Mus musculus: one gene and its partner. The protein of the gene in region 2 interacts with the protein of the main gene of each other region in a pairwise test. Links are inferred from orthologs where the notes say so. Each region holds a gene or a part of one and is shown on either strand. Other genes may lie near its edges.

Region 1 (5,932 bases), on a different chromosome or scaffold from region 2:
AAACAATAACTTTTCAATTTAATATCCTATATACTGCTATACATCTAATTCTTTCCCAAATATGAGAGAAATATTACATTGGCACACATGTGTAACCACAGCCTTACGGAGACGGCATTGTGAATTTGACTTTAGCCTGTACAAATGCTAGGACAGCCTTGGCTACACAGTGGGCCCTGCCTCAAAAACCACAAGAGAGAAACAGTTAGTCCACATTTACTTTGTAAATTTATAAAAACTGAAGGTTTTAATATAAGCTTTGTTTCTGTACTTGTATGTGGCATTTCACATTAATGAATATTAGTTCCTTCGAGTATTATGTGAAACCATTTGTTTAAATAGAGCTGCATCCTCTAATGTTCCCTAAATTCCAAAATGTAAATTTATGACTCTGCTTAAGAAGAGTTCCTTAGAAGGGTTTTGTTAATGTAATTTTTGCTTAGAATGCTGCCTTCTTTGTTTTTTTTTTTTTTTGTAAAAAAAGAACATTCCTATTTTGTAACACTGCCTGTAACATTTAACTTTTAAGTAATTAATAATCAAAACAGAAAATTATGATAGTTTAGGTTGAAATCTTTTTATTAATTTCACTTATTTCTGATGATCACACAGCATATTTGCTATATACAAATGGTTAAAATCTATTTACTATTATTGCCTATATCTACTTCATGTTACTGCTGCACCATGTTGCTTAACAGTGGGTTTCAGGAAGGCAGACAGATTTGCCTGGCTCTGAACAAGATCTAAGAAGGAGCCCAGGCTCTCAGTCTGATGATGCCACTGGTAACTTTGGGACTGTCAAGAACTGCTGGTACGCTACGGTCAGAAGAGAGAAACTGGGATGAGCCTAAAACAGGCCAGCAAGACACAGGCGGCACAGGAAGGCACAGGGAATGAAGTAGACATCAGCAACCGATGATCAGAAAATGGGTACAAAGTACCAGTCACTGGGCACATCTGTCACACCAAAACATTTAGAAAGAGTAATATAAAATAATTGTTCTAAGGGAAAAGGTTTTATAACCTAAAACATTTCTCTTTTTTCTTTTGTTTAAAAATATATCAATTCATTCTATTACAGTGATACTAAGTGTTAATTGTATTGCTATACATAAGATACGGTTTTAAAAAAGAACCTTCAAAAGTGTGAGTCAAATATGGGAAGCCAATCTGGAAATCATTGTGACTAGAAAAAGAACCCGGGCCTCACCACGTTCACCAGCTTCGCCAGGCCTCACTTTAATAGGCACAATACTTCCGTAAGCCATTGAGAAGGGACAGAAAAGAAACCAAGGAGAACTGGCTATTCACAGTTGCTCTCACTTAGCACAAAACTGAAGGCTAACATGAGAATATGAATAATACCGACTTCTCCTGTTTCCTGAAAACTCTGCAGCAGATTTGAAATAAAACTGAATTCAAACATTTATGATCCCACTGAGGTTACAGAATCAGCGAGAACCCAATCCTGCTCTGCATTCTTGTGATGTCAGAGTTATTTATTAAGTACGGCCTAGGACCATGATACTTTTTGCAAGAACGAGATTTGTATTTCAAACATTCTGAAACACTGTCAAAGTACCACATTCATTCAGGTGCCTCATAAATTTGCATTTAATTTACCAAGCAAAAATGTGAGGCTGAAAAGCTGTGTATTGAAATGTATTCCTCCATGTTAGCAGTAGGCTGGGAGCCTGCCTCTGTAGAAACCAAACAGTTCTAAACCAAGGTATCACTAATTTGTATTCCTAATTGTGTTTTCAATTCTTCTTTTGTTTTGACTTCAGTAACAGAAAACCTGCTAATACCATTAGCCAGAAGGCAGTCTTGGCAAGGCAGTTTGACATCATGACTTGTGCTGTGACAGTTGTACTATGAACTTTCACTTCCCATCTGAGTAAATACCAACGTTTGCTTAAGCAATAAGGAACTCCGTCTCCACCCACCAGTGCGGTAACTCCTGTCACACCTGTCTATCTGGAATCCCTAGGAGTCACTCACCTGCACAGATCTGAATGTTGTAATGAAAGGCAACATGATATGATAGCCTGGTCCACTGGGGCTCGTTAGCAAAGCTCCTCCCCTGCAAAAAGACGTTCCAGTTGACAAAACTGTTCGGATCTCTTTTCAACTTAAAATGCTATAACAAACATTCACTCATATTCATGTTACTAACCTACTACCCTCACAACAGAGTGACTCAACAACTGCTACTTCAAACATCCATCACATTTAAAAGTGTGAAAATGCATCCAAGTCCACTGCCAATATTGCACCCTGTTTCATAAGCTCCACCAACCACACCTCTGCGTCTCTAGCACTGCTCTTGGGTTCAAAAGATCCTCTCTGGTCTTTAGTTTGCCGATAAATACTTATGGAAAAAATTCTAATGACTCTCAATTAATGACACATAACAAGAGACAAATCAAAACAATACATTTAATCGCTAAGTTTAAAAAAGGAAAAAACCAAACTTTCAAGGAAGAAGAAACTTTCTGAGGCTAATGGTTCTTTCAATACATGAGTCCAATCCTAGGGGGATGGTTTCTGTCTAAAGGTAACAAAAACCTAGCATGGAAAGACAGACAGCGAAAGGGTTGAGTTGACAGCTGAGAGAGGGGCTTGTTTATCAAACTCTGTAGTATGTGAACGGTGAAAGCACCCCCTGCAAATTTGGGACAAATACAACACAAAGTCCTACTTTACACAACGAATAGTAAGTTCCCACAACATTCATCCTTGTCCTAAGTCATAACTCAAAAGATGAACCTTTGCAGGTTCATTAGTCATTTTTTTTGGAGTGGTATCTCCGTATGTTCTCTTCGTGGTTTTCCTGTCAGAAGGACAGTGATAAACTGGATGGAAATGTGGTCCAGGCTGGTATTTCTTATGCTAGAACTCCATCTGTTAAGACATACCACCAAAAGTATGTATTTTCTAGGATTCTGGACTGATCTAAAAGTAGAAATACCAGTTTAGGGGGCATGATGGAAATATTCAAAAATCTGCTTGTTTCAGAATAAACCACTATCCCAAGTTGTCCACAAACTGGCTTCTCTTCCCAGCTTATACCACGAGGACCTGGTGGGAAGTTAGACTTGATTTATGCCAAATCAGGTGGATGGCAACTGAGTCCACACTCTTTTTCACCTTGACTTGAAAAAAAAAAAGTGAGAAAAGTGGCCTGCAAATGTGGTTTTTGTCTCTTGGCCTTTAGGGATATATGACATTGCTCTGGTCATGAAGACTTTGGGGGACATAACCAGACAATGGGAGATTTTTTAATGAAGAAGAAAAAACCCAACTTAGTGTTGGGGAGAACTGTCTTTATGTAAGACAGAGATCCGGAAAAAATCCACAGCGGCAAACTAAACACCTGTGCAGTTGTGCGGACTATGAGAAGTCATCTCGGTTGCAGTGACTACTTCCGTGCCCCCTAAGGTGTCTTCAATTCTGTACAGAACGAACTTGGCACTAAACTGCCCCGACAACGGAAAAGTGCCCCGCCAAAGGTTAACTCCCGGCAGCTGGGATGAAACCACTTCCCAGGCAGGGCTGGAAGCAGCTCCCCTGACGCCGCGGAAAAGAGCAACTTCCCAGACTTCGCTGTGACCCATTGGACCCTTCCACTGTGCTTCTAGAACCATCGCGGGCTGCACAGGGCGGCGCTCACCTGTAGTACACGGCCAAGTGTCCCTCTTCGATCTTGTGGATGGAGGCGTACAGGAGGATCGCCACCAACCCCACCACTGCAGCCACCAGAAGCCGGGCTTGAGTCATATTCATCCTTGTTCCTCCTGAGCATGGGGAGAAGAGGAACCTCAGTCCGTTGAGTGACAGGCCAGTCCCCACCCAGGGAAGAGCCCGCGTACGGTCGCGGGCGGCTGAGGCGGGAAGCCCCGCGCTCCGGCCCCGGGCTCTCTCTCTCTCTCTCTCAGCTAAGCGCTCCCCTCGCCAACCCCCTGCGCGGGTGCCCCCGGCTCGGCGTACGTCGTGACACCTCTTCCCCGACTCCCCAAGCGTTAGGTCCCGACTGAGGGCGGCCTTGATCGCAGGCACTCGGAGGACCGCGACCCCCGAGCCTCGCCTCACCGGTCAGTGACGCATCGCCCCCGCCCGCACGTGCAGCCGCCACCCGGCCCCGCCAACTGCTGCCAACAGCCGGCCCCGCCCACCTGCCCGGTACTGCGGCTGCGCGGGGACGCAGGCGACGCAGCCCCCGCCCGCGACTCGCGAGACGGTGCGCGGGCGGGACAAAATTGGCCCCGGGTGCGCGCACAGTGTAGTGATTCTAAGTGCCCAGACGAGGACCAAGTCTCCTGGGGTGGGTCACTCGGACAGACGCTGGTTGAGGCATGCTAGTGCACAGGACCAGCCCCTCAGTGTAGGAGTTGTTCCTGCATCCTTTTGTGGTTCGTCCCTAGTCCAACTGGCAAGCACATTCTCCAGGTACACACCCTGCACTAGGGAAACTACCAGACCAGTCTCAAGGAATCAGGGGTTCGAGTTCAGAAGAGGAAGCTATTCAACCAGAATTAACCATTCAGACTTGGCCTGAATATTTATTTTGTGCCAGAATGCTACACCAGAGTGCTTTCTGAAAGCCACCCAGAAACAGGATCAGAATGATATATGTATGTTGAATGTGGAGGTCGGGATTGTCTTGTAGGCCAAAATGAGTAGTGAACGCTTGAGTTTTCATGACGGCGATAAGGTTGAAAGGAGTTGTATGGCAAGATAGGCTAGAACCAGATTTACAAAGTCTAGGATCCATTTTTCTGCTGATAGAGAAAATGTATGACAAGAAGACAGTGACTTCATTTATGGCTGTTAGGCCTGCATGCATGTCAGTCACTATCTGTGTGCCTGGTGCCCTCAGCAGTCACAAGAGGGCATTGAATCCCGTGGAACCAGAGTTAAAGGCTGTTGTGAACTGCCACATCGGTGCTGGGAATCGACCTTTTTTTTTTTTCACTGTATTTTAACATTCTATACCACGTGGACCTGGTGAGATAGCTCAGTGGGTAGAGGAGTTTGTGAACTCCTGAGGACTTCATTTTCACCCTAGACCTCACACAGAAGTGAAAAGCAGAGAACTGACTCCACAAGTTGTCCTCTGATCTCCACACATAAAGGTCCATGCCCCACACCACACACCAACACACACAATAATTAATAATCATAAAAGGTTTAGGGAATAAACCCACACCATGTGCATGTATTACAAAACAAAAACTAAAAGGAAAGGGTAGAGTTTAGAGATATAGGGACACATGGGAAATAAGGGCATTCTATTTCACTAAGGGCAGAGACAACTAGAAAAGGTTAACAAGGTTGGAAGGATTACCAAACTCCTGTGCAGGAAAATACCAGAAAGCAGTGCTTTTGGGGCATTGTATCTGTAACTGGCTGAGAGTGAAGACAGACAGGAAACTGGGAAACGGATATACAACAGCAAATACAAGGTTATGTATGATGCTAGTAACAAAGAGAATGACAGGCAAGAGAATCAATTCAGGCCTTTGTAAGAGCAAATCTAGCCACACCCCTTCAATACATGCACTAACCTGTATCGTGCATTTGATTTTTATTACCACGGAATGTATGGGACCTTGTTTGTTGCAGACCAATATTACAGTTTAGCTATTTTCATCTCCTCTGGTCCCCTTTGTTGGTATTCTGTCTAAGCTCCACTCTTACAGTTCCTGGCAGCAGCCACATATGCTCCCCCACCACCCCCCAGTTACCTGGCAACAGCCAGGTAGGCGTGGCCCCATAAAAGGGGCTGCTTGGCTCCTCCTCTCACTCTTAAGCTCTTGCCTCTCTTACCTCTTGCCTCCTTGTTTCCCATCCCGTTCCCCTGCCCCCCTCCAGGTGGCCATGGCCTGTCCCTACTTCTCTACTCTCTGCCATTCTCTGCCTCTACTAC
Region 2 (5,932 bases):
ATGTTGTAATTACTGCTATTAATTATACATCTTTTGAAATAGCATATCTGCACGATCACAAATCTAGACAGGAAGTTACTAGGGCAAAAACATGCGTATCACAATTCTGAATGGACAGTCAGTCTGCTTGTTCAGCTTCAGACAAGGCAGTGAGGGACAGATAGTGAGGAGCTTTCCCACAGACGATATCCTCCAACACACTCAGGAGCCTGTGCCTGTCTGCTTTTACCACATATTTGGAACACAGTAGATGTGAAAATGGGGTGAGGGTGACCATTCAGGTCTTGTTGCCCAGGCCTGATGGCTACATGTTCCTTAGCACATCTAAAGTCACAGTAGAACTTTTACCTATGCCTGGAGGGTGAGACCAGCTAGTCAGACTTCCCGTCCTACTGTTGTAGTGGCCCCGAGGCTTCTGAGACAGGCTTACCACACAGTGCTAGCTAGCCCTGTTGTCTGGACAACAAGCACAAGCAACCTGGGAAAAGCTTTTCGGCAGGGGTTGGGGGCAGGACAAAAGTCATCTGGATGGGGCAGCCTCAGAACTGGCAGTTTGATCACTAATCAGGATCCATGGCTGAGCAATGAAAGCTGTATGTGGGTTTCCTTGTTATTAACAAGGTTCTGATGACACACTCAGTCTACAGGCTTTGCCTCTAAGGCCCCTACTTTTCCTTGTAGAAAGGAGGCACGATTCCCTGTCCTCCCTCCAGGATTCTGTCCCAGGCGTCATGATGTAAGACAAAATTGAGGCACCAAAATTTAAGAGCCTACGAAAAAATTCAAGATAACTTTGAATCTCAAATCAAATGCTTTAAAGTTTTTTTTTTAATTATGTGTGTTCCTAGATGAGGTGATGCACACCTTTGATCCTGGTACATAGGAGGAAGAGGCAGGCAAATCTATATGAATTTAAGGCTAGTCTGGTCTATAAAGTGAGTTCTATAGATACAGTGAGATCCTGTCTCAGAGAGAGAAAGAGAGAGAGAGAGAGAGAGAGAGAGAGAGAGAGAGAGAGAGAGAGAGAATGTGTGTTCCTGTGCAGACCAGGGAGGGTACAATTCTTTGGAGCTGGAGTTAGTTATAGGTGATTGTGAGCTGCCTGCTGGGAGCTGAACCCTAGTGCTCAGGAAGAGCAGTGAAGGGTCTTAGCAATTCTCTCTCTAGACCCACCATAAATAATTTTTCCTTCTTGGAAATATTACAAGTTTTATTCTCCATTCACTGGATTGTGGCTCATCCAGAAATCAAGAATACAATGATCAGTCAGAATAAAAGATCTCACAAAAGAGATGACGTGTGCACACACCCATCAGTTGCCAGGCAGGCCAGCAGTTCACCTCTACCTCTGAAGGGCTCCAAAGCCACTGCCCTTCCCTAACAAGAGAAAAGAGGAGGAGGCTGGGGGTGAGGGCACTGAATCAGCCATGTCTTTATTACAAGATTGTGAGGTGACAGATTTGCTGATAGGTGGACAGATATACAGTAAATTCATAAGTCAATAAAGTAAATAGAAATTCCCAGGATAAACACTTCACTAGTCTTCCACAACTCAGAACTAATGCAAAAGGTCCACAATGAACCCAATAGAAAATGCTTAAATAAAAACACAATCCAGCTATGCGGCTTCCCAAAGCTGTCTTACTAATAATGGCTTTTATTTCCATACAATATAATTTATAAAAACATCTGGAAGGCTGGCCCGGTGGTTAAGAGCACTGGCTGCTCTTTCAGAGGACCAGGGCTGCCAGCATATACACAACTCCTCACAAACTTCCCACAAATCTCCAGTTCCAGAGGATTGACACTCTCTTCTGACCGCCAGAGGGATGGCATGCGCATATGCATACACACACTCATACACAAAGTAAAATAAATCCTTTTTTAAAGTCGTCTGTTCACTCACCCAATGCACCCAGTGAAATATGTTTTGGGATTTTTTTGTTTCATTTTTATTTAAAATTGTAATAAAATGTGTACAATATACGTTTCAGAAATAAATATTCAGCATTTAGATGCGCATTCACACGGTGGGACGACGTAAGTTTTTAAACATTAAATATAACTATATATAATATTTAATTATATAATATATAATATTTAATTATTTAAATATATAATAGATACTATATAATAATTATATATAATTATATGTGATTAAATATTAAATATAATTAATTTCCAAATATTAAATATATTGTGGCTGAGTTTATATATTTCATACCCCCCAACCCCTGGGACTAGACCAGACCTCCGCCCTAGTGACTCTTGTCCTTGGCACCTCTTGAAACTGCCGAATTGAATACAGTAAGTTTCCCCCTTGAAGATGCGGTTCCTTGAAGATGTAGAAGTTGCGTGCCCGCCGAGGAGGTGGTCCTGACAGTCACCTTCAATGCGCTGGCATCCACCAGCAGCCGGGCACACCTGGTGGGCACGCCCTCTACCTGCCCAGGGCTACCTGGCGGGCCGCGCTCAGCGTCTTGCTCTCGGGGCTCGGGTCCCTGCGGGCCAATGGGGAGGCGGCTCCGGGCAGCAGCCGCGTCCCACCGAGTGGCCAATGGGAGCAGGGCATGCAAATGAGCAGGTGCGGTGGCGGCCGGCCCGTTGCGGCTGCCCCGGCTCCCGAGATGTTAGAGGCGCGCTGGGCAGCCGCGGAGCAGACTGCCGGGCTCCGAGATCCGAGCTCCGCTCTCCCGCCATGGCCCCCGCTCCGCCCCCCGCCGCCTCTTTCACGCCCGCCGAGGTCCAGCGGCGCCTGGCGGCCGGTGCCTGCTGGGTCCGCCGCGGGGCCAGCCTCTACGACCTCACCAGCTTCGTGCGGCATCATCCGGGGGGCGAGCAGCTGCTGCTGGCGCGGGCTGGCCAGGACATCAGTGCCGACCTGGATGGGCCACCTCACAGACACTCCGACAACGCCCGCCGCTGGCTGGAGCAGTACTATGTGGGCGAACTGCGAGCGGACCCGCAGGTACCAGGCGGCCCGGGGCACTCCCCGCTCCCTGCCTCACACCCCTCCCCCAGTCCGCCACTTTAGAGAGCTCAGATCACCTGCCCTCTAGGAGAACGCAAGGTGACAGCCTCCACCCTCACTTCCCTCCGTTTTCCCAGTTTCTCTCCAGGTAACCGGTCACTGACACCCCCTCTCCCATCCCCCTATTTCCCGTTCCTATCACCAGGAGCTTGGTGTTCCCGCTACCCCCCTGACCCGGCTGCATCCTCCTTCCAACATGTCCCTTCTGCAGCCCCCCTACCGCCTGACAACTTCGACTCCTGTTTCTGCCTCCAGCCACTACCTCCCACCCCACCCCCTTTCTCTCTTCTCTTCCTTTTCCTTTATCAGCCTTTCTGGTTTCCTTTCTTGTTTCAGTAGTGGGTCCCTAGGCTCACCTGGCCTCAGTTTCTCCATCCCACCACTCTCTTGGTTCAAGGAGACACAAATCCAAAACTCTGCTCTGCCCCCTTCAGGGGCTCCTGTGGGTGAGTGAGTGAGGGGCCCGAACAGCGTTTTATTGATTCTATCCTCCAGCCCCCGGTTTTATTTCCGTCCTAAACAGTGTTGTGGGTTTGAAAGAGTGAAATAAAATACACGAACCAGCTTGCTAAGGAGAAGTCGATATTTCTAACCCAGACTATGCTAAACTCTCGGTACTGCTGTGTGGTACAGACTCATCTTGGATTTTTACCTTCAACCCATCCTGGGTGTTATTCTCATTTCAGGATGTGGAAACAAGGGTTCAGTGAAGTTCTATAAATGTCTGAGGTCAAACAACTAGGTAGTACAAAAATCAAGTGTTTCTTATTCAAGAATCAAAGTCGTCTCCATCTGGAGGGTTGGGAGACAGAGCTCTTGGTAGACTCAGGTGGAGCCAAGCTAACTCCTTATTCTCAAGCCTGATAGCAGGACTGGTGACAGCAAGGCCATCGTGATTAGGTTAAAGCAACGGTTGGTCCTTGTTGCTCGCGATCTTTCAAGTGCTTTTAGATCTTTAGATGAAAGGACATGCTGTCCACTGTTCCAAGAGACACCTCTTATCCATCTTGCCTAATTCTTATCTCTTAGTCACTTACTTGGTTCTTAAACGGATTGACGACACTGTGCTGGGCACCAACAGCCATTGAACAGAAATGGTTACCATTTTCATGGAGTGAACAAGTTCATAAGGAACCTTACTATGGACTCGGTCATTGTTTAATTACATTTATTAATATTTATAATATTTGCATACTGGGTCTGGAGCAGGTTCAGTAAGAGCTACCTTGAAGAAAGTGACATTTTCACCAAGAGCTAATTGAAGACAGAGCTTAGCCAAAAGTGGTAAGAAGAACATTCCAGACAGAGGAATAGCATGTATTAAAAAACAAACAAACAAACAAACAAACAAACTGTGGCACAGTCAAGAGACAGCAATGGAACCAAGGTGACCAAGGGCTGGCAGGTCAAGGGAAGAAAGAGGTGGGAGCTAGAAGTTATTGGGGCTTGATCAAAGGGCCTCAAAGGCTGTGGTTGGGGGTTTGGGGGCTTGACTTGCAAGGCTAAAGGACTTAAGCTGAAGAGTGGTGCGGAAAGATTTGCATCTTCGGAAGAGTAGCCTTGCTCCAGTGACAAGGAGCGGAGGGAACTCCAGTGGATGTAAGGAGTTCCAGAGAAAAGGCATAGTTTAACCACCATGACCAGAAGGGAAAGGAGATTTCATAATAGAAGATTTGACAGATTTCATAAACTGTCCAGACTTGGCATTCGACAGCGGGGAACCCAGAACAGTATAGGGAGCTGGTGTTTGGTGTCAGGTCTTGCTGACAGAACAGAAGCTTTGCTGTGAGAAAAATTGCTACAGAGATCAGTGAGCAGTTAGGATCAGAACACTGGAGATGGCCAGGCCTGTGAGGGTACATGGACCTGCCCTGTATTGTAACTGTGTTCTGCAGTCGGGAGCCTGAGGGTGTGGCCTCTCTACTCAGTACCATTCTGAATGTCACTCCCTCCCCTGCACTGGATGGCCCCACCTTCCTGCTTTGCCAACCACCCAGCGTCAGGATTTGGTTTGGTTTCACCTTGCCCTGCCTGACCCCTAGGGTCAGAGAGAACTCAGAGGCAAAACCAGTTCACCCTGGGCTCCCTACACCTGCTCTTTACCTGTTATATCCCCAAGTCCCAGTGTGGTCACGTTGCAAACAGATTTCTGGGCCCCAAACTGGGGGTATAGAGAAAACTAAAATCTAAGAGTATAACTCCAGGCCCACAGACCTAATCTGGCCAGCAGCCAAAGTCACCCTAGTTCAGTAGGGGCACTCTGTGTCTTCTTCCATAAAGAAGGCTCACCCCACTTTTTCCCCTGTTCCCTACTTTGCCACACCCCTATGTACGCACTGCACACACACACATTCACACTCACACAAAGGCACATACAGAGAACAAGTCAGACTTGTTTGAGCTAACATACTGTGGGGTAGGGGAGATGAAAGATCTGTAGCTGATCGGGGAAGCTATCTCACCATCCCTGGCTGCCAGAGGCCAGTGGGATCAAGCCCCTTAGCCTAGGCATGGAGAGAAGTGCTCTCCCACCTGTGGACATGAAGCCCTGTTGTGAACACCACTTCAAAAAAGAAGCAGAGCTGGTGAGTGGCTGGGTGGGTAAGGGCGCTTGCCACCAAACATAATGACCTACCTGAGTTGGATCCCTGGAGTCCATACAGTGGAAGGAGAGAACTGACCCCTGCCTCTGACCCACCCCTGTGGACTCTGCACAGGCACATAATAAAGTAAATAACTTAAAGAGAGAAATGGGCAATGAAGGGATTTAGTGTGTAAACCTTCCTCCAAGACCATAGACATTATGTCCCCGAGACTTTGGTCACCTATGAGTCACTGACAGACACCCCCTGAGTTATGATGTTGGATAGCCATCTCTAGATAGGCTCACCTTTTCTTTTA

Evidence for each region.
Region 1: the proteins of Fa2h (region 2) and Erlin1 interact in binary tests that used the Homo sapiens proteins (3 or more experiments, as listed by UniProt). The two-hybrid records come from large-scale screens. The link is inferred for Mus musculus from reciprocal best matches to the Homo sapiens genes FA2H and ERLIN1.

What each region holds. Positions count from the first base shown.
Region 1 is NC_000085.6:44,065,596-44,071,527, forward strand, and holds the start of Erlin1 (erlin-1), read right to left. Parts: upstream 4,191-5,932; 5' UTR 4,096-4,190; exon of another isoform or gene 3,801-4,095; 5' UTR 3,790-3,800; coding exon 3,677-3,789; intron 2,087-3,676; coding exon 2,005-2,086; intron 1-2,004. UniProt on the Homo sapiens protein: Component of the ERLIN1/ERLIN2 complex which mediates the endoplasmic reticulum-associated degradation (ERAD) of inositol 1,4,5-trisphosphate receptors (IP3Rs).
Region 2 is NC_000074.6:111,390,519-111,396,450, reverse strand, and holds the start of Fa2h (fatty acid 2-hydroxylase), read left to right. Parts: upstream 1-2,629; 5' UTR 2,630-2,698; coding exon 2,699-2,968; intron 2,969-5,932. UniProt on the Homo sapiens protein: Catalyzes the hydroxylation of free fatty acids at the C-2 position to produce 2-hydroxy fatty acids, which are building blocks of sphingolipids and glycosphingolipids common in neural tissue and epidermis.